Linked DNA regions of Tamandua tetradactyla. The protein of the gene in region 2 interacts with the protein of the main gene of each other region in a pairwise test. Links are inferred from orthologs where the notes say so. Each region holds a gene or a part of one and is shown on either strand. Other genes may lie near its edges. The genes, in order: SULT2B1 and FLACC1.

What was found.
Region 1: the proteins of FLACC1 (region 2) and SULT2B1 interact in binary tests that used the Homo sapiens proteins (3 or more experiments, as listed by UniProt). The two-hybrid records come from large-scale screens. The link is inferred for Tamandua tetradactyla from reciprocal best matches to the Homo sapiens genes FLACC1 and SULT2B1.

Annotation. Positions count from the first base shown.
Region 1 is NC_135342.1:12,462,880-12,473,280, forward strand, and holds the start of SULT2B1 (sulfotransferase 2B1), read right to left. Parts: upstream 4,962-10,401; 5' UTR 4,943-4,961; coding exon 4,824-4,942; intron 4,113-4,823; coding exon 3,970-4,112; intron 1-3,969. UniProt on the Homo sapiens protein: Sulfotransferase that utilizes 3'-phospho-5'-adenylyl sulfate (PAPS) as sulfonate donor to catalyze the sulfate conjugation. Responsible for the sulfation of cholesterol.
Region 2 is NC_135329.1:175,867,310-175,878,502, forward strand, and holds the start of FLACC1 (flagellum-associated coiled-coil domain-containing protein 1), read right to left. Parts: upstream 4,825-11,193; 5' UTR 4,594-4,824; coding exon 4,472-4,593; intron 4,348-4,471; coding exon 4,276-4,347; intron 1,778-4,275; exon of another isoform or gene 1,330-1,777; coding exon 1,281-1,329; exon of another isoform or gene 429-1,280; coding exon 298-428; intron 124-297; exon of another isoform or gene 54-123; intron 1-53.

The DNA.
Region 1 (10,401 bases), on a different chromosome or scaffold from region 2:
AATACATTCAACAATGACCTGTCCTTAGGATTATACTGGATGGGACTCTAACTACCGCCCTGTGCCAGTTATGAATCGACTGCTTCTCTGCTCCAAAGCCACTCTTCTTTGCCCGTTCTGTGACACTGGAGCTAGACCCTGCCAGCATTTCTGCTTGCCAGGCGGCTCAGTGCTCCCCTCTGTCGGTAGAGGGCGCTGGAGGAACATGACATGATGCTGGGGTTTCTCTTCAGGCTTCCTGGGTGCTCCTCTCAGGAAGTGGACAGCAGCCAGTGGTGCAGGGGACACGCAGTGGCACCACCCCAGAAGGCAATGTTCTGACCAGTCTCCCAAGTGTCCTGGCAGACAAGTTCCTGCTTGCCCACCCTAGCTGGGGCCCTCAGAGAGCTTCCCGGCCATCACAGGGGCCACGAACAACCTCCAATGGAGTCCAGATGGGGTGGGAGCGAGTAGGGTCCCTCTTACAAATCTGTCTTAGGAGCTCTGCTTCAGCCCCCGAGGTAGTGGGAGCTCCGAATCACGTATTCCTGTATCCTCTGGAGTTCTCTTTACTTCCGGGCAATTGGTTCCCTGTGGCTTGTTAATTATTTATATTAAATGTTCCTGTTCAAATTTCCTGTTTCTGTCTCCTTTCTGGATCATGAGATACCATGAAGTGATGTAGCAGAGGTATTGGGTTTTCACAGCCCATTCTCTTCTTTTTGTGTTCGTATCAGAACTCCTAATTTTTAGCAGGGCACTCCGGCACCCAGCCAGAGACCACATCTCCCAGTCTCCTCTGCAGCCCAGTGAGATCACGTGACTAAGCTCTGGCCCATGAGATGTGAGCGGAAGTGATAAATGCACCTGTGGGTCGTGCCTTTGAAAGGCACGCTCCCCCCACCACTCTCTTCCCTTTACTGCTGGCAGCATTATGGAGACAGTGTCAGTACCAAGGGGAGTACCTAGCAGAGGCCAGCAAGCCAGAAGGAGGCTGCCTCCTACGTGACCGCTTGGAAACGAGTCTACCTGTATAGCCCACCTACCTCAGGACTGTCAAGGGAGGGAGAAATAAGCTTACTTCTTTGGGTCTATTTGTTATAGTAGCTCAACCTGTAACTTTAACTAATATAGGAAGGTCCTGTTAGTACCTTCTATGTCAGAGATGAGGAAATCAGGGGTCTGGAGACATTACAGGTCTTTTCCATACTTCCTGAGGGAGCACTAAGGATTTAAACCCAGCTGTGAATAACTTTTGGAACACAGGTTTCTCCATGGAATACTGTCTTGATAGGCTTGAAGCATCACCACAGATCTGACCCTATGTTAATCCCCCAACGACCAGAGTCCATGCCATTAAAATCCCAATCATAGAATGACGAACCATGAGTTCAAAGAGACCTCAAATTACAAAGCAACCTAAAAAGCCAAATACATTTGACTGCATAATTTCAGAATAAATCTGAATGGAAAAACCTATTATGAACAAAGTCAAAAGACAAATGACCATCTAAGTAGGGAAACATGCATAATTCATAATGCACACAAGGGTTAGGTTTGTTAATAGAAAAGAGCTCCTACAACGCAAACAAAAAGCCAACAACTCAACAGAGAAAAAAAAAAAAAAACGGACCACAGATAAGAATAGATCAATCATAGAAAGGGAAATATATAGTTCTTTACAAATCTAAAAATATGCTCAACTAGACTAATAACAATGGAAATGCAAATTAAAACCACACTGACATTCCATTTTTTCACGGACCAGTTTGGCAAACATTTAAAAGCCTGATTCATGATGTTGGCTGTGGTATGAGAAACAGGCCCCCTCAGACCCTGTAGTTGGGAGAACAAACTTCTGTATCTAAGTAGGGATACTAACTCCATCAAAATTACAAATGCACAGAACTTCCAATCACATAATTCTACACGGAGGAATTTATCTTACCTATTGATACAAACAGATGCAAATAATGTATGTATAAGGTTACTCAGCACAGTACTGCTGATAAAGACAAAAGTTTGGAAAACTCTAAATATCAATCAGTAAGGAATGTGTTAAACAAGTATTATTGCACATCCACATTCTGGAATACTGCAGAGCTGTAAAAAAAGAGAAAGCTCTTTGTTTAAAGTTCTAAGGGGATGATATCAAGGTGTAAGAAAAAGAAATTAAAGAAAAGGAGAGGGCGGGCCGCGGTGGCTCAGCGGGCAAGAGTGCTTGCCTGCCGTGCCGGAGGACCCCGGTTCGATTCCCGGCCCCAGCCCATGTAAAAAAACAAACAAACAAACAAAATATAATAAAACAAGAAAATGTTTAAAAATGTTTCCCTTTCTTCCTCCCTTCCTTCCTTCCATCCTTCCTTCCTTCTCTGTCTTTCCTTCCTTTCCTCCCTCTCTCTTTAAAAAAAAAAAAAAAAAAAAGAAAAGGAGAAAAGCATAAACAACATCAAGATGTGGAATGGCACATATGTTAATGTCTCTGGACAAAAGTAAGAAATACGTACATTTTTGCTCATCTCTGCAAGTTTGGAAGGATACACAGGGCAATACCAGTGACTGTGGGTAGAAAGAGATCTCTCATTGTAAACTTTTTGTTCCTATGAAATTTGGAGCTATGAATGTCTCTAGAGAGACAAAAAGTAGATCAGTGGTTGCTTAGGTCTTGGAGGTATGGGAGGGATCAGAGGGTGAAGGCTAAAGGTCATGGGGTTTCTTTTGGTGCTTATGAAAGTGATCGAAAATGGATTGTGGTGATGGCTGCACAACCTGTGAATATCCTAAAGCCAGTGGACTGTACACTTTGAATGGGTGAATTGTACAGTGTGTGAATAATATCTTGATAAAATATTATACAAAACCCCTCATGAACTCTGTACACAAGGATGAATGCAGTATTTTGAAATTTATCAAAAAAAATATTTTGGAAAAAAAAAAAGTCAAACAAGTTAACTCCATCAACTGAGAGAAAAAAAACAAAAGCCAAAGTCTGTCTCTTCTCTGACTAAAGCCTTCCAACAGGTCCCCATTGTTTGGTCATCACAGACCTTCACCTTAGCATCTACCCACACCCCCTCCAGCCTTTCTCATCATTCACTCCATCCCAACCTCACTCACCTTCTCTTGTCCCTCCAATTCACCATGCCCTCTCCCACCTCAGGGCCTTTGCACGTGCTGGTCCTCTGTCTAGGACTTCCTTCCTAGGGTCCTCCTCAGCACCACCCAGACCCTTCTGCATCTTCCATGTCCTAGTGTGAACAAGCCTCCCAGGAAGCCTCCCTGATCCCCCAGACCAGGTTGGTTTTGCCTCCCCCTGCTCCCTACCTTCAATGCTTCCTGCACCCTTCCTTGGTGGGACTCATTCTGACTCCTAATTATATAGTAATATAGGTGACTGTGCATTTAAATAAAGCCTGTCTTTCCTAACCGACAACCGTCTTTCTTGTTCAGAAGTGTGTCTCCATGACAAGTGACCAATAAATAGCATGTCAATGAGCAAATGGAGGAAAGAGCCTCCCTTCCTTCTTTCTTGCCTATCTTCCTTTCATCCACTCTTCCATTCTTCCTCCCTCCCACAAATATTTATTAACCGCTTATTATGTGCCAGGCACAGTTGCTGGCTCTAGGAACACAGCAGTGAACAAGGTAGACTAAAATATCAGCAACCACAGATCTCACCTTCTTGTGGGGAATAAATAAATAGAAATATGATAGGTGCCAGATAATGATAAATGTCATGAAGAAGGGTAGGTAAAGGGGATGGAAAGGGACAGGAGGCAGGATGGGAGAACTGTCTTAGCTAGGGAGGGCCGGGAAGGCCTCTCTCAGACCGGGAGGAAGAGTGGGAGAAGGCCATGTGGATGACTCAGGGAAAGGGCGCAAGTGGCTGAGGGGCCAGACAGAGTCAAGATCCACCCCCCTGGCTGTTTGCTCTCCCTTCTCCCCGGATGTCCCATCCCCATTCTTCCACTCTCCAGGCCCCAAATGTACCTGACTTGGGGTAGGTGACGATGAAGGTGTCGTCGTCCCGCACATCGCGGGCGTTCTCTGCGATGCTGATGCTCTCAGAGGAGTAGATGCCGACGGGGAAGGGGATACCCTTGTACCTGAAGTATTCGCCTTGCAGCTTCTGGCTGTATAAGAAGGCAGGGGAGACACCATGAGGATAAGAAGGTAGGAAGAGAAGGGCAAAGGTCGCCCGGGGGCCTGCGAGGGTGTGAGACCAAGGTCCCCGGAGTCTGCATGGAGGGTTAAGTTGTACAGCTGAGGCCTCCCAGACTCACGTCAGAAAGTGGCAGAGAAATCTCAGGATTGGCGTGAGAGGTGAGCAAGGAGGGGGCCCCAGGGGGCGATGCCCCTGGCCAATGCAACCTTGCGGAGGAACTTAGGCTCAGCCTCGTTTCTTCTTCTGCAAAATGGTGGTGGCAACGGTGCCCGGTGCTTAACGCTTTCCATACATTTTATGCTTCCCCCCAATCCTGGAAGGCGGATGTTCAGTCGCCACCCCATTTTACCCAACGAGGGCCCCTTCTCACCCCCACCCGGCTGCTGAGGGGCAGTGCCCGCGTAGGAAACCACGGGCAGAGTCATCGCCACGCTAAAGAACGCCTTCAGCTTTGAGCCTCTCACACTCGAGCTGCTTTTCCAACCCTCAGCCCCATCCAGCAATGTGTTCACGTGGCCAGACGCTTCAGTCACAATTTTCAAAGGTGAGACAGCCTCAGAGCAATCGAGGACGTCTGCCGCCTCCCGCCATTCCAACCTCCCCAGAATCTCGTATACCGTGGCGTGGGAGGCGATGAGTATTTTGGGGATAGGGCTAACGGGAGTTGGATTGGGAGTACATTGCGTCTAGCTTTAGTGTGACACTGATGAGCTTCGCAGGCACGTCGGGGGTACTGTTTGGGTGACCCGGGCCCGGATGCGTGCAGACGGCCGCCACGACGTAAAGGCGCAGGGACATAAGCTGTATCGCGATATTACGGCGGTTGTGTCGTGATGTTATGCTGTGGTATCGCGAATTACGGGAGTAGTATCGCGATGTTTCGTGTCTCAAGGCTGCCGGCGCCGCCAGGGTCTAGAGCCGGAAGGTAGTCTGAGCTATTTTTCTAGAATGTTCGTATATTTCAGAACATAGCAGACTGCCTCCACCATGTGGCAGGTTGCTGTGATTTCTTTCACGTTCCAGACAAACATTTCCTCTACCTAATTTTGCAGTCGCAACTGTTTTTTCTTCTAAACGGTCTAAACTGGCCCTCACAGCGGGTCTGCCCCATGGTAACTACTCTGTGCTATTTTTCATTTGCGTCCCTTTATAAGAAGATAGACTGAAATTTCAAAACTATATGTGTGTGTTGGTTATATTGAAAGGATATAGCATAACATTACTAAGAAGTTCCATTTTGGGGTAGTGAAGAGAATGTTACAAATAATTGTTTTATCAGGGGAGTGTTGGTCTGACCGCCCAGAAGCTCGAGCATAACGCTGAGTGAAGGGCGGGGGACGCGCAATAGCCCACAGAAATTCAGAAACAGGGAAAAGTGATTTCTGGGGTTAGAAAGCCAGATCTGGTTCCCCTTGGTGGGAGGGCCGGGACAGGGTGGGGACGGGAGGGGACTCCTTGGGGGTTGGGTACAAGGCGGTGGGTGGGTGCCCGTTTTGCACACCTCTGTGGTGGTACTCTTGTGAGTTTTATGTTAATAAAATATTAAATGAATGAATGACTAAAACGTTAAAGGAAAAAAAGTCTCTCTCCATGAAAACAAAAATGTTCTTAAAAAGGAGGCCGAATGTTGGGGTGGAAGAAGTTGAAAATTCTGCTGGCTTACAAAGACCTTTTCCTTTAGTTTCTCCTCAACTGCTCAGTTGACGTCATGAGGAACCTGCGGTCCATAGAGGGCTGCAGCTTGCGCTGGGGGCACCATTGTCTTTGCTGAAGCCCTCCATTGGCGTCAGCGATTTGAGGGATAGGGAAGAGTTTCCATGAGACCTGGTGCTGAGGGATGTAGGCCAGAGATCTGTGCCCTTGCCTGGGGTCGCAGGAGAGCTCTGCGGAACCGGAAGGTTCAGCCCAGTCTGCCGGAGTTCCCAAAGGGCAGGGCCCTGAGAGGGGCTGGGAGGGCGTCTGTGGGGGATTCTGGGTGCACTGGCCCCCTTCCTCCCTGGGGTTTGCTCTGGAGAGGGCAAGAAGAGCTGGTTGCTGCATGGGGAACTTTGTGGGTCCTACTTCCTAGTACCCAGACTGATACAGGCTTTGTGGGTCCTACTTCCCAGTACCCAGACTGGTAAGAGCTCGTTGCCAGCTCCGAGTCTGACTTTGCCATTTTCCAGCCGAGCGGAGGGCCTTTTAATCTCTCTGTGCCTCAGTTTCTCAATTGTAAAATAGGGGGTAAGAGAGGTGATACAGTGTCATGTTCTCAGCACAAATTCTAGAAAGCCAGACTACATAGGCTTGAATCCTAAATCCCACCAGCTGTGTGACTGTGCCTCAGTTTCCTTACCCATAAAAACGGGATAATAACGTTCTTTACCTCATAGGGTCGTGTTCAGCAGTTAAATGCTCAAACTATGCCTGGCACAGAATAAGCACTATATAAATATCTGCTAAATTTAAAAATAAAAATGGTTAAAATAGCACCGGGTTTGTAATCTACATTCAATACATCTAGGCTAAAATTATTATTGTTGTTATTATATGCAATAATAGAGGCAACGCTGGGCATCACGTGGGCTCAGAAGAGGTTCTTGGCACAGCCTCTGCACACAGGAAGTGGTAATTACTGTAATTGTTTGATGATGTAACCAGTTACCCATCGGTAGCGGTGGTAGAATTCGTGATGTCACTGGTTACCAGGCAGGTTTAGCCCAGTGGGGGAGAGCTGTGAGATCATCAGTTACCAGGCAGATTTGTAGCTCCGAGTCTGTGGGTCACACGTACCATTTCCACCCTCGGGCAGTGCATCCACCACTTTGAGCCTCAGTTTCCTCATTTGTCCCTGGGGATGATGGTAATCTATACCTCATGGTTTTAATCCTACCTGAGGATTAAAAGGGAAAATATATTTTAAGCACTGGGCTCAGGAAACGGAAGCTCCTTTTACGGTTATATTTTAGTCTTTGGTCTGGCCAACAGCTGCTTGAGGGAGCAGCTTCCTTCCAGTCTTACAGAAAAGGAAAATGGAGCCACCAAATGGGAAAGATCCAGGGCCGTGTCCTTCAGGAGTCCCTGAGATATTCACTGAGTGAATAAATGAATGAATAGGAGAGCGCCCCCTCTTCCTGCCACCCACTCTTGGCACTTACTGTCTCCTAATTGGCCATCCAGACCTGGCCCAGGAGGCCAGGGTGGAATGTGGAGTGTTGGGACTTTGTTGGTGCTCACCCAGTATGTAAGGGAATGAATGAAGGCACGCATGCGTGAGCCTGTGACAGGGACCAGGACAAGAGACAGGCAAAGAGCACCTGTTGTAGGTCCTTACATCTGCCTCGGTGGTCCTTAGTCCACACTGTACTTTAGAATCTCCTGAAGGGGATTTAAAGACTCCCAAAGACCAGAATCCCCTAAGGGGCCTTTAAAAGCTCCCAAAGTCTGGACACCCCAGACCTGCAGCAGTCGACCCTCACCACTACACTCTCTGAGCCCAGAACAGCCTGCCCACCATGGCTAGCTGCTCAATCAATAATTGCTGTGGCATGAACAGGGTAAATCTGGGGATTTCCTTGCAGGTTACGATGCTAAGGACAAGAAAATGGAAGTTCTGGCTATGAAGCCAGTGCAGGGCAGAGTTGGGATATGAACCCTGGTTCCTGGGGCAGGCTCAGCCCTCAGGCAGTTTCTGTCTCACCTGCCCCATGTACCCCACGTCTCAGCCCCAGCCCCCAGTCATGGCGCCCTCTTCGCATCTCTGGGCCTTGGTACCTGTAGTTCTTTTTGCCAGGAATGCAGGCCCTCCTGCTCCCCACGCCAAGCAGGGAGGCCTCCAGCTGGATTCCTGCTTGCCTGTGTCCTAAGGCAGGCGTGGTGCACCTCCTGTCCCCACCTCGTAAATCAAATCTGCCCCCAGGGTGGCCTTCCCTCTCCCGGGGTCACAAGCTTGTTTTGTTCCCAGGCCACGTCCTCAGCCTGGCATGTGGGCTATAGGGCTGTCGCTGAATTTATGCGGAGGAATGAAGGTGATGATTGAGCTGGGTCAGAGAAGGAGGACCTGATGGCAGGGTCAGCTGACAAAGCTGCAGCTGATGTGAAGGGGTCTACTAAAGACCCCAGGACATGTAGGACTCTTAAAAACTGCATAGCAGCATCTCAATCCTCCCCTGCCTTCCTCCAGAAAACATTCGGCCCCTCCTCTCCATCCCCCATGGCCCTGGCCCAGCTCAGGTCACCTTCTCTCACTCACACCCTCGGTCCAGCCTCCACCCCAGCCTCCCTGCTTCCAGTCCAGTCCCCAACTGCCCCTGCCCCTCCCCTTCTCCCCAGTGCCCCTCAGCCCAGCACTTAAGGCCCCATTTAACCTAGATCTGCCTGCTCATCTGGCCTCATTTCTTCCCAGATGGCTGTAGTCACACCCATTTCTCCGAGCATTTCCATACTTCTGAGCCTTTGCACACGCTCTTCCTCTGCCAGGAATGCCTTTCCCGCCTCCTCTCTCTGCCAGCGTCTCCACGGTCAAGACCCAGATCACATCTCAGCTCATAAATGCAGACTTCCTTAACCGATGGCCCCCAACCCTAGCCCACTGGCCCTGCCCTGTTTTTCCCTTCCCACTTGTCCCCGTCTCAGCTTCTCTGAAATTTAAAATATTACCTTGATTATGCATTGTTTTCCCTGTTTGCATGTAATCTCTATGAACCCAGGGTTCTTTTTTGTCTGATAGTTTGTTTAGTGTGTCCAATTTGCTGATCTATTTGAAGTAGCCCCCACAGGATGGCCTTCAGGGAGAACTTCAAAAAATCAGTATTTGCTAAAGGAATACAGATCACGCTAATAACGATCCCTGGCGTTCACCAACTGGGTAATGGACCTAAACCCATTTATTCTGAGGCCGGTGGGGTTACCCTCCCTTTGCACAAGTAGGAAAGGGAAGCACAGAGAGGTAGAGTCACGTGGCCAGTGTTGCACTACGGCAAAGGGCAGGGCTGGGATTTGAACCCAGACAGTATGGCTCCAGAGTTTGAACCTTTCATCATTCTGGCTGCTACGTGACCTAAGGGAACTGTATTTACCTCTCTGAGCCTCTGTTTGTTCTGGCATGAAGTGCCTTTGGGAGTGTGTTCCTTCAGTGCAGGGGATGTGAGTGGTTCCAGAAATGCGGATGAGTGAGGGGAGAAGGTAGGAAGATAAAAGACATGGGTCTGACCTCAGGCCACTCATATAGCCTCCTTAAATGTCAGCTTCCTCCTGTCACAGGACTATTTAACTCCTAGGGGCATATTCTCATATATCATATCCTATTATATTATATTATATTATATTAATTCATGTTTGCGTGTATACAGCAGTCTGTTCCTTTTTATGGCTGAGTAGTAGTCCATTGCCTAAATAAACCATAGTGTACATATCCATCCCCTTTGTTAATAGACACTTGAGCTGTTTCCAGGTTTTTAAAACAAAACATTGTGATTGTTCCTGGACGAGTCCTTGTGTGGACATATGTTCTCATTTTTCTAGGATAAATAACTAGTAATGGAATTGCTGGATCATACAGTAGGTGTCATGCTGTTTTCATTATAGTACTTTTATGTCAGTTTTAATAACAAGAGGGCAAGTTCCTCCTCCCCATTTTTTCCCTTGGCAGTTCTTGCACGTGTAAACACCTATATCTATAGCAATTCTAAAATGGGTTTGCCAAAAGAACCCAGTTGAGATATATATCACTTTGATGTATGACTTTCCTAATAATGAAACTCAAAGAAATCTAGCTAAATAAGCTAATTACTCTCTGCAAATTCTCCAAGGGCTTCATTCCTAATGAGCTTCTGCACTCATTGTCTTGTGACTTTGCTGGGCTGTGAGCTCCTTGAGGGCAGGAGCTTGGTTTAAAAGGAGGCGTTGCCCCTCCGGTAGATGCTGGGCTTTGCAGGGTGTTATAGGATGTGATTCACATGCAGCCTGCTAAGGGAGGTACTTATCAGCCCATTTTAGAGAGGGGGAGACTGAGGCTTTGAGCCATGGAGTGTCTCACCCACCACACCCACCCCGTGGATGACACACTTTGGGTTTGAGGTCCTGGGCTCTGTCCCTTAAACCCCATCAGGCTCACTGCACATCCCTGTCAGTCTGCACTGCCCCACCTCCACTCCCCACCTCAGCACAGCGTCACACAGCATCAGCTGCTCTGCCAGGGCAGCCAGTGTTGTTCTGTTCTCACTGTCAAGTTCGACTTGTTCCCTAAATCCTCCATGCTCCACCACACCACTGAGCCG
Region 2 (11,193 bases):
GAAAAAATTTTTCTCCTTTGGCATGGATTATACTACACCCATTCATTTTCCAGGTCAGTTGCCTGATTTGATCTTCATCCTGCCCCTGGGGTCGGCTGACTGACGGGATCAGAGCCACGAGAGGTGGGCCTGGAAGGGAGCAGACATCAAGAAACAAGGGTGGGGAAGGAAGCAAAATTGCACCCTCAGAGCAGGAACCCTGTGGACTGGTCATGGATGTTAGAGGATGTCCATGAGGCCAGGTCGAGCCAGGTGGGGATAAGTTTGAGGAGCCGGATGTTGGTTCAGAGACATTACCTGGAAATTTCTACTTTGTCCTTAATCTTTTCCAACTGCTTCTTCCTATCGAACATCTCGTCCCCCAAGGTGACAGAAATCTGCTCCCTATTCCGAATGAGGTGATAGCCAGGTGACACGTTGATCACTTCCTGGGCACCAAGATGAACAGTCAGATCATATTGCAGACTTGGAGTTAGAAGATTCCTCCAAACCTTCTACCATTGTGCTACTCACATCTTGAAAACCCAGACATGAGATAAGAATCCAGGGCTCTGGCCCATCCCATGTTCTTCCCTAGACATGACTCCTGCTCCTATCTCCAGCCCAGATTTCTCTCCTGAGATTGAATCCCGACATTCAGTTGCCTCCTGAATGTCCCTCTCAGTGGTCCCACAGACCTCTCAAGCTCAACGTGTGCAAAATGGAACCACTGATGCCCTTCTGCTGACTCTACTTCCCTCCCCCTCCCCTAACCCTGTGCCCACTCTGTGCTCTCCATCATGGCTAGAAACCAGGAGGCAGCTGGTCATCGTGGAAATCACTCAGGGTTTGGAATCAGAAAGGTCTGAGTTTGAATCCTGGCTCTGCTACCTACCGGTAATTATCGCCACCTCTGTACTTCAGTTCCTCATAGGACAAAGGTGCCCTTCCCCAGTGCTTTGTGGTTTCCCAAGTGCAGCATAAGGTTTCCTGCATTATGGGCATGAGCTGTATCTTGATCAGTTTCGTTGCCCTGGGACGCTCTCCTCAGCCTGCCCAATGCAGTAATAAAAAAATTCTGCCCTGGGGTCTGGCCGAGCTGAGTTCAAGCCCTGGTTCTGTCATTTAGCAGCCACATATAATGTACAATGATAACAGCACCTCCTCAAAGGATCATTGCAAAGGCTCAAGGAGGCAAGTACATGCAAAGGTATGTGTAAAGCACATGTAAAAGCCCATGTTTGCATGTGGTTGGTGCTCAGGAAATGTTAGTTCCACTATTACTTTCCATTTTTACTCACATAAGGTAATTTATTGTTCTCCTCTTGTTTTCTTAAATGTGTTTTCATCCTGCAAGAGAAAAGCTTACTTAGAAAGCAACCAGAGAGCAAAGAGAGGTTCAGGGCTTAGGAGTTGCAAACCTTGATCCTGTCTTCATTCAACCCCGCCCTCTGAGCTCTGGCCACCCAGCCTTCTTGGGAAATCCCCAGGGTGGCTGGAAAATCCACTGAAGCAGGGCTCCCCGAGTGCTTCAAAGCTTGGACCCTTGTGAGAAGGTCTTGCCCAAGGAGACAGAAAAGTTGGTCTTCTGATATTGGGAGAACTTTTGGTTTTGGAAAGTCTCAGCCAGATAAAGGGGTTTTTATACACCCCCACACTGCAAGGCTCTATGAGTCAGGTGACACCCCCTCTCCCCCAACACATATACATTCAGCTCAGGGAACCATGTGTGTCACTCTTCATTGAAGAATACAGCATTTCTACGTAATGAAAAATATTCCTTTTTTCATTAACAGTAAGACACAAAAACATTGAATTTAAACTGTTTTCATTCAAATAGTCTATATATGCTATATCTAAATGACTAATGCATATCTAAAATGAATAACATATATATACTATTATTTTACTTTATACATATATATGAATATATATACACAGAGAGAAAGGTGGGATTATGATAGACTTATTGCTGATTTTATGGGAGCAATTATCTTAGTATTGTTTCACAGTTTCTGAAACTTAAAAATGCAAAAAGAGGAGTCAGCAGTTAATTTATTAATTAAAAGTTCATCTTTATCATTTTGTTTCCAGGGCATCACACTCCCCTGATTCTTCACCTACCTCTCTGCCCACTCCCTCTCTGCATCATTTCCTGACTCCTCTCATCTCCCTGAGCTCTAAGCACTGGAGTGCCCCATGGCTCAGAACTACCTGTCTCCATGCATTGCCTTTGACCGCTCACCTGGTCCCAGGACTCTAAGGATTATCTAGGTGTTGAGGACTCTCAAATGTATATCTGTAGCCAGTCCTCACTCCCATACTCCAGACTCATTTATCTGACTGCCTACTCCATATTGCCACTTGGATATTTAACGGGCATCTCAAACTTCCCATGGCCAACCCCTCACAGCCCCTCCAGAGGTCTTCCGCATCCCAGAAAAAGACAAATCCATCCTTCGAGTTGCTTAACCCAAACTCTTAAAGTCAGTTTTGACTCCTCTTTTTTTTTTTCTGATACTTTCCACCCATTCAATTGGCAGATCTGATAAGTTTCTGTCTTCAGAATATATCCAGAATGCAACCATTTCTCAGCACCTCTTCTGCTCCACCAGGTCTGATTACCATTATCTCTTGCTTGGATTCCTGCCATTGCCTCTTACCTGGTCTCTACTTCTACCCTTGCCCCCTACAGTCCATCTGCAACTCAGCAGCCAGATTAATCCTTTCAAAATCTCAGTCAGACCATGTCACTCTTCTCCTGAGACTCCTCAGATGGCCTTACATGCCTTTCAGAGTAACAAAGTCCTGACATTGACCTGCAAAGTCCCTCACTGAATTAGTTTCCAGGAACTTCTGTAAAAAGTCACCACAAACTTGGTGGCTTAAAACCACATTAATTTATTATCTTGCAATTCTGGAGATCAGAAATCTATAGAGTCTCATTGGGCTAATATCAAGGTGTTGACAGGGCTGTGCTCCCTCTGGGGTCTCTAGGAGCCATCTGTTCTCTTGCCTTTTCCGGTTTCTGGAGGCTGGCCCCCGTTGACCTTCAAAACCAGCCATCACATCGCTTTGACTCCAACCTCTCTTTCATTGTCACATCTCCTTCTCTGACTCTGACACTCCTACCTTCCTCGTTCACTTAGAAGGACCCTTGTGATTACACTGGGCCCAACCAGATTACTCAAGACAATCTCCCCATCTCAAGGTCCGTCGATTACAATCTTAATTCCATCTGCAATTTGGGCAAGTAGCACAGCATATTCACAGGTTCCAGGAATGAGGATTGGACTGTGTTGGGGGCCATGATTCATCGTCAACCACATTCATCATCTTTGTTACCTTCTCTGGGCTCCTCGCCACCTCTCTCTCCTCCTCCCTCCACTCTCACCACACTGGCCTCCTTGTGTCCCTGGAAAAGGGCAAGCAGGTGACACAAGCTCCCATTCAGGGCCTTTGTCCTTGCTGTCCCCCCTGCCAGGAGTGCTTCCTGGAGATACCTTCATGCCCCCCCCCCCCGTGTCCCCTTTACAAAGGAGACTTTCCCTGACCTCCTTAAGTAAAAGAACGACTCTCCCGACCCCCACCTTTCCTTAACGCGTTTGCTTTCATAATTTCTCTACATGGCACTTGCCAATCTTGGATATGTTCACTTGTTTTTCATCATCTTTCCCAATCCCCATTAAAAAGTAAGGTCCAGTAGAGCCAGAACATTGCTGGGTTCACTGATGTTTCCCCAACACCGCAACAGTGCCTACGAAATAACAGGTGCTCCATAAATAATTTCTAAATAATAAATAGATAAATTACAAAGAGTCATGCAAAGGCCTAAAACCATGTCACAGTTCTAATTTATACATTATAGTTCAAAGTTAAAGTCATGGTTATAAGCTTGTAAAAACTTTAAATTTTGAGTTAAAAAAGAAAATCAAAGGTGCAACCTACAGAAGACCTTAGACACAGGAAAGCAATCATCAAAAAGTCTATTTTTCAGGATTCTCCCTGAGGCTCTTTGCCTGTGACAGGCACTGGGCATTGTCCCCTTTTAGGCAGAACATAGCTTTGGAGGGCCTCTCAGCTGACAGCTCATTTGCAGTGACTTTGAAAACTATGGTACAAAGGAACACGGAATCTGCATGCAGGGTCTGAAGTTCTAGGAAAATCATGGTGGGTTCTGGCACGTGTCTGATAACAGTTAGTTTTAAGTCAGACAGAGCTATAAAGGCCAATGGGGACATTATTTTATCTACATGCCGCAAACCATTCCTGCCTCGTAGAAATAAAAATACTTACTTTGGATTCACAATAGGTTTTGATGTTGATTGGAAATTGCATTTTTTTGGAGCTGGCAGAAGAGGAGTTAGCCTGAAAGTGAAAAATAAATAATAAAAAGAAAAAAATGGAAATTCAGAAATCTGTCTTATTTTCTCAGATTAGGTGCATCCTCATGGTGTCCCTAAATTCTGAACCAATAATTGGGATATGTGACCTGACAACTGTAATCCTGGGTCTTGGGAAATCTCCAGCCCACGGCTTTAGCTCTTGTTCGCTGTCCCAGGGAGTCCCGAGGTTGGCAACACTGCTGGTCCCCCCGTCCTCAGAGTTCATCATCCCACATTGTGGGGTCAGCTACTGCCTAAGCCTTTCAGTTGGAAGCTGCGGTTCCCTGTTGTAGTGGCTCTGAAACTTCCTCACTTTTGTGGCACTTGGCCTGGGCAGGATGGACAAGTTCAATGGGCAGTCAGTAGGATTGCAGGGAAAGTTGTATAAAGATAGGTTTTCTGGCCCACTTGGGATTTTGCTGCCAAGTTCACTGTTTTGGAAATCTTGTAAGAGAAAGAAGGCTGCAAGTGGAACCCTAGCCCTCTTCCCCCTACCTCATGACAGGCAAACATTACTTGGACTTCCTTGAGGAGGGGGAGGTCTTGCTTGGTGGATGAGGGGTCTTGATTAGCTTCCGTGGTCCCAAGTTCCAAGGGTCCCAGCAGGTGCAGTAGATGAGAGGGTTGGGGTACATGGTCCAAGGTCAAGGGCAGTCTTGGCTGCTGGGTCAGGAGCCTCTTGCTAAAAATGGGGAAACAGCTGCAAGGATTAAACCGTTCAGAGCCAAAACAGCATTACTTAGAGACAAGCTGGGAAGGGCCCAGGGAAGGTACAAAGCACATAGTAGATTCCAGAAGCTGTTGATCTGGCTCAGGGTCTTGCCTATGGACCTCATTCCTTACCACCCAGTAGTCTTTATTTATAAGCAATTTAAGATTTGCCATAGTTGAGAGCTAACTGTGAGCCATGTACATAGCAAGTGATTAATTATTTTTACCCCCATTTTACAGATGAGGATACTGAGGCTCAATGAGGTCACAGGGTAACAAGTTGCAGAGCTGGGAAACAAGCACAAGTTTGTCTGACTCCTAAGTCCTTGCTCTTCAACCAAGCCATGCTAGTTCTCACTTAAGTGAAGAGATCCCCACTGTAGGTCCTGCTCAGACTTTTCTGGAAAATAAGCTCTGTGACTCAAACTACCGTCCAAGTCAATTCCCCAGATTCTCATTCCTGGTCACCTGCCTGAAGAGTCCAAACTTCCTCCCTGGCTATATAAAAACAAACAAAAGTCCCTGTTACGAAACTTTGTATGAAAGGCAAATATCAGATAAACAAGGAGTTTTGACCACACTTGTTTATCTTTCTTCTTGTCCAGAACTGCACTGTAGGTTTCTCTCAAAGAGGTTTAATCCACAAGAGCAAAGAGAACGGAAGAGGAGACTATGTTGCACAAGGGATGTCACGCATTTGACACAATAACTCCCTCACTTCACACACGTGGAGTTTAGCCTGCATGGCTGCAGAGAGGGTATGAATGAAAGACAACCAATATGTACCTCCAACACCCTGAAAAACTCAGGACATGGAACAGGTAGATTATCTGACGATACTAATAGGTATTTGACAGATCTGGTGAGGCATGTGGTGCATCAAATAAGGCCCCTCCAAAGAGGTTTCCTCGTCCTAATCCCTGGAAACTGCAAACATGTTACCTTACATGGCAAAAGGGATTTGTGCAGGGATTTTGCAGTTACTCTGCACAGCTCCCTCTTCTCAGACCTCTGGCCCAGCCCACTCCTGCACTTACCTCTATCTGCACACTCACTGGCTATTTTTTTATTTTTAATTTTTATTGACAAAACATAACAACATACAAACACGAACATTTGTAACATGAACATTCCATTCTTGGTACATAATCAATGACTCACAATATCATCACATAGTTGTATATTCATCACCATGATCATTTCGTAGAATATTTGCATCACTCCAGAAAAAGAAATAACAAGAAAAAACTCATACATACCATACCCCTTCCCCCATATATATACAGTTTTTTTTGTTTTGTTTTGCAAGGGGAGGCGCCAGGAATTGAACCTGGGTCTCTGGAATGCCAGGAGAGAACTCTGCCACTGCACCACCATTACCCACCCTACCCAATATATTTTAACATTTGTTCCCCCTATTTTTTTCTGTACCCCTTACCACTCCCTTTCATTGATCACTAGTATTTCAATCTACTCAATTTATTTTAACATTTGCTCCCCCTATTATTTATTTATTTTTAATCCACATGTTTTACTCATCTGTCTATACCATAGATAAAAGGAGCACCAGACACAAGGTTTTCACAATCACACGGTCACATTTCGAAAACTTTATCATTATACAATCATCTTCAAGAAACGTGGCTACTGGAACACAGCTCTACAGTTTCAGACACTTCCCTCTAGCCTATCTAATAAACCTTAAACTAAAAAGGGGATATCTATATAATGTTTAAGAATAGCCTCCAGGATAACCTCTCAACTCGTCTGAAATCTCTCAGCCACTGACACTTTATTTCATCTCATTTCTCTCTTTCCTCTTTCGGCTGAGAAGGTTTTCTCAATCCCTTGATGCTGAGTCCCAGCTCATTCTAGGATTTCTGTCCCACGTTACCAGGGAGGTTTATACCCCTGGGAGTCATGTCTCATATAGAGATGGGGAGGGCAGTGAGTTTTCTTACCCTGTTGGCTGAGAGAGTCCACATCTGAGCAATAAACGAGGTTCTCTGGGTGTGATTCTTAGGTCTAATTTTAAGTAGGCTTAGCCTATCATTTGCAGGGATAAATTTCATATGAACAACCCCCAAGACTGAGGGCTTGGCCTATTGATTTGGTTGTCCCCATTTCTTGCAAGTATATCAGGAATTCTCCAAATGGGGAAGTTGAGTTTTCTGCCTTTCTCGCCGTACCCTCAAGGGGACTTTGCAAATACTTCTTTATTCACTGTTCAAATCTCTCTGGGATTTATCAGGGCATCAAACTGGGCAAACCTATAAAATGTCATGCCCTATTCAAGGCTCCATGTACTTATGCATACCCACTTGCTTTTAAAGCCAGGCCTCTTGTCCTAGTGTCATGGCTCCCTCCACCCCCATTCTGTTGACAACTTTGCTGACTGCAGGCATCCCGAGGGCAAGGTCCAAGTGGCTTGCACAGAATAGGTTGTTGATAAACAAGTGTTGCCTGGCCAGTAATTAGGATGGTAGTTACCACAGGGACCAGCTCAATGAGGAGAAAAAGAGATCTACAGGTGAAACTACCAAAATACCGTGTCATCAAAATATTATAGATAGTGTTAACATTAGACTTAAAAAAACAGAATTCATGGGCAAATTATGATACAACCACTCAGTGGAGTTTTACCCAGCTTTTAAATAATTTATTTTAAAGTCTGTGGAAACATGAAAAACTCTTTGTGCAAAAAGATATGAAACGGTATGTAGGTAATGGATATGATTACTGTCAGACACGGGGTCATGTGGAAGGATTCCACACGAGACACCGAGTTAAAGATTAACAGATTTATTGAAGGAATAAAACAGAGAGGAAGTAGGTGGGAGAGCAAAAGGGAGAAAGCAGGTGGGAGCCTGAAATTGGCTCCCACCTGGGGAGACAGCAAGAAGAAAGAAAAAAATGGTTCCAGTTCTTTGATCTGGGAGCTGTTTTAAAGGGATAGTGATGCCAGGAGGGGAGGTACCCACTAGGTGGTGTGTTGTTTCCTGGTTGGATGGGGGCTTGTAACAGGTTATATCTGGATCCTTGGGCCTGCCAAGGATGCTGAGGAGACAGGTTGAAGGTGGGTCTTCATCAAGAGTTCCTTTTACTCTTAGAATTTTCTTTCTGAGACCTAACAATTACATAAGATTTTATTTCTATGTTGACAAGAGCTAGAAAAGAATACATTACATTGTCACCAATGCAGTAGGGCCTCAAAAATCAGTAACCCAGGCTAGGAATGTTTTGAATCCTAGAGGCATTTTGTATATAGAAATTTTTATTTCTGCCTTTTAAAAAAAATTTATTTATTTACTAATTAAAAAAATTTAACAACAAACGAACTAAAACATTAACATGTGATCATTCCGTTCTACATATATAATCAGTAATTCACAATATCATCACTTAGTTGCATATTCCTCATTTCTTAGAACATTTGCATCAATTCAGAAAAAGAAATAAAAAGACAATAGAAAAAGAAATAAAATGAAAACAAAAAAAAAAAGATTATACATACCATACCCCTTACGCCTCGCTTTCATTGATCACTAGCATTTCAAACTAAATTTATTTTAACATTTGTTCCCCCTATTATTTATTTTTATTCCATATGCTCTACTCATCTGTTGACAAGGTAGATAAAAGGAGAATCAGACACAAGGTTTTCACAATCACACAGTCACATTGTGAAAGCTATATCATTATACAGTCATCTTCAAGAAACATGCCTACTGGAACCCAGCTCTACATTTTCAGGCAGTTCCCTCCAGCCTCTCCATTACATCTTGACTAACAAGGTGATATCTACTTAATGCATAAGAATAACCTCCAGGGTAACCTCTCGACTCTGTTTGGAGTCTCTCAGCCATTGACACTTTGTCTCATTTCACTCTTCCCCCTTTTCGTAGAGAGGGTTTTCTCAATCCCTTGATGCTGAGTCTCAGCTCATTCTAGGGTTTTTCTCAATCCCTTGATGCTGAGTCTCAGCTCATTCTAGGATTTCTGTCCCATGTTGCCAGGAAGGTCCACACCCATGGGAGTCATGTCCCATGTAGACAGGGGGAGGGTGGTGAGTTTGCTTGTTGTGTTGGCTGGAGAGAGAGGCCACATCTGAGCAACAAAAGAGGCTCTCTTGGGGGTGACTCTTAGGCCTAAATTTTAAGTAGACTTGACCTATCCTTTGTGGGGTTAAGTTTCATATGAACAACCCCCAAGACTGGGGGCTCAGCCTATAGCTTTGGTTGTCCACACTGCTTGTGAGAATATCAAGAATTCAACTTGGGGAAGTTGAATTTCTCCCCATTCTCCCCATTCCCTGAAGGGGGCTTTGCAAATATTTTTCCACTCACTGATCAAATCACTCTGGAATTCATCGGGGCATCACTCTGGACAAACCAACAAAATCTCATATCCTATTCAAGGTTCCAGGTACTTATGGTGTTCAATCAAGCTATCTACATAAGTTATATTAGGAAATGCACTAGTCAAAATATAAATTTTGTACCAAATAAACATTTTTTGCTTTAGTCTCATACATAAGTCGAAATTTTAAAATATTAATTATCATCTATTTTCAGCACCCTTCAGTAATGACATTCCTTTGTTCTTCCTCATGCAGAAACATATTTAAAATTTGTACATTTAGTTACTATTATTATACACTCTAGGCATTCCTAGATTATACCATTTCAATCTTTAATGTCTATCTTTCTGATTTCATTTATTTATTTCTGCCTTTTTTTTGAAAGTAGGTTTATTGTTGTTTGTGTGTGTGTTAAACTGAAATAGGATCATTGTAAAGAAAATTGTATCATAGAAAGCATAAGAAAGTAAAATTATCCAAAATACTAACACCACTGAACATATTTTGATTGATATATTCTAGAGTTCTCCCTAGTCTAAAGAGACATATTTATATAATTTTATAGAACGAATTATACACAATAGTTGTAATAATATAATTATTAATAATCTTAAGGATTTATATAACTTTCCATAAGTGAAAACCATACTCATATCCTAGATATGCTTTTTTACAATATGTCATGAGCTTTTTAAAATGTCAGCAATTATAGATCTGTAACATCATTTGTTCGACTTTACTATGGATAAATTTAAAAATGAACAAAAGCAGAAAAGAAAAGTATAATGAACTCACCTGTCACCTGGCTTCAATAATTAGCAACTCATGTTTAATCAACTTATGTTGATAGCTTGATTGAATACCATAAGTACTTGGAACCTTGGGTAGGACATGAGATTTTGTTGGTTTGTCCAGAGTGATGCCCTGATGAATTCCAGAGTGATTTGATCAGTGAGCAGAAAAGTATTTGTAAAGTCCCCTTCGGGGAATAGTGAGAACCGGGAGAAATTCAACTTCCCCAAGTTGAATTCTTGATATTCTCACAAGCGGTATGGATAACCAAAGCTATAGTCTGAGCCCCCAGTCTTGGGGGTTGTTCATATGAAACTTAACCCCGCAAAGGATAGGTCAAGTCCACTTCACTCCTCCAACACCAGTCTATTTTAAAGTAAACCTCAGACTTCATATGGTTTCTGTATCATCATGGCTATGTAGATTTCTATTCTATAAATGTACTTTATTTTATATTTTTAATCATTTCTTACTGGTGAACATTTGGTTTTTTTTTTTTTTTCTTCTCCTATAACAAATAATGCTTTGGTGGCTAACCTCTTTTGCTCTTAAAAAGTAAGGCCTCTCCCTCTAAATATCCATTGGGATGATAGTAAAAACATTTAACAACCAGCTAGACAAAGCCACAGAACAGTCAGACTAGGTTTGGGGACTGTGGGGCTGGAACAGCGTCTGGGAGGACTTTTCTCCCACCTCCATGGCAGACATTAACTCCTTAGTTGCTTAATCATGAGGTGCTTTGGGGGTGCTGGGGGAGGAGTTGGGGCAACCAAGATGACAGGGAGGACATGTGAGGGGCTTTGGGAGTGGTCATTTCAAGAACTGTGCATAGCAGCTAAACATCAGCCTGTGACTTCCAGTACCCTCCCAGGAAGGAACCACTGTTAACAGGTTTTTGGATTATCCATCCAGGTATGTATGTATGCATGTCTATATATACTTCTTAAAATGAACACAAATGACAGC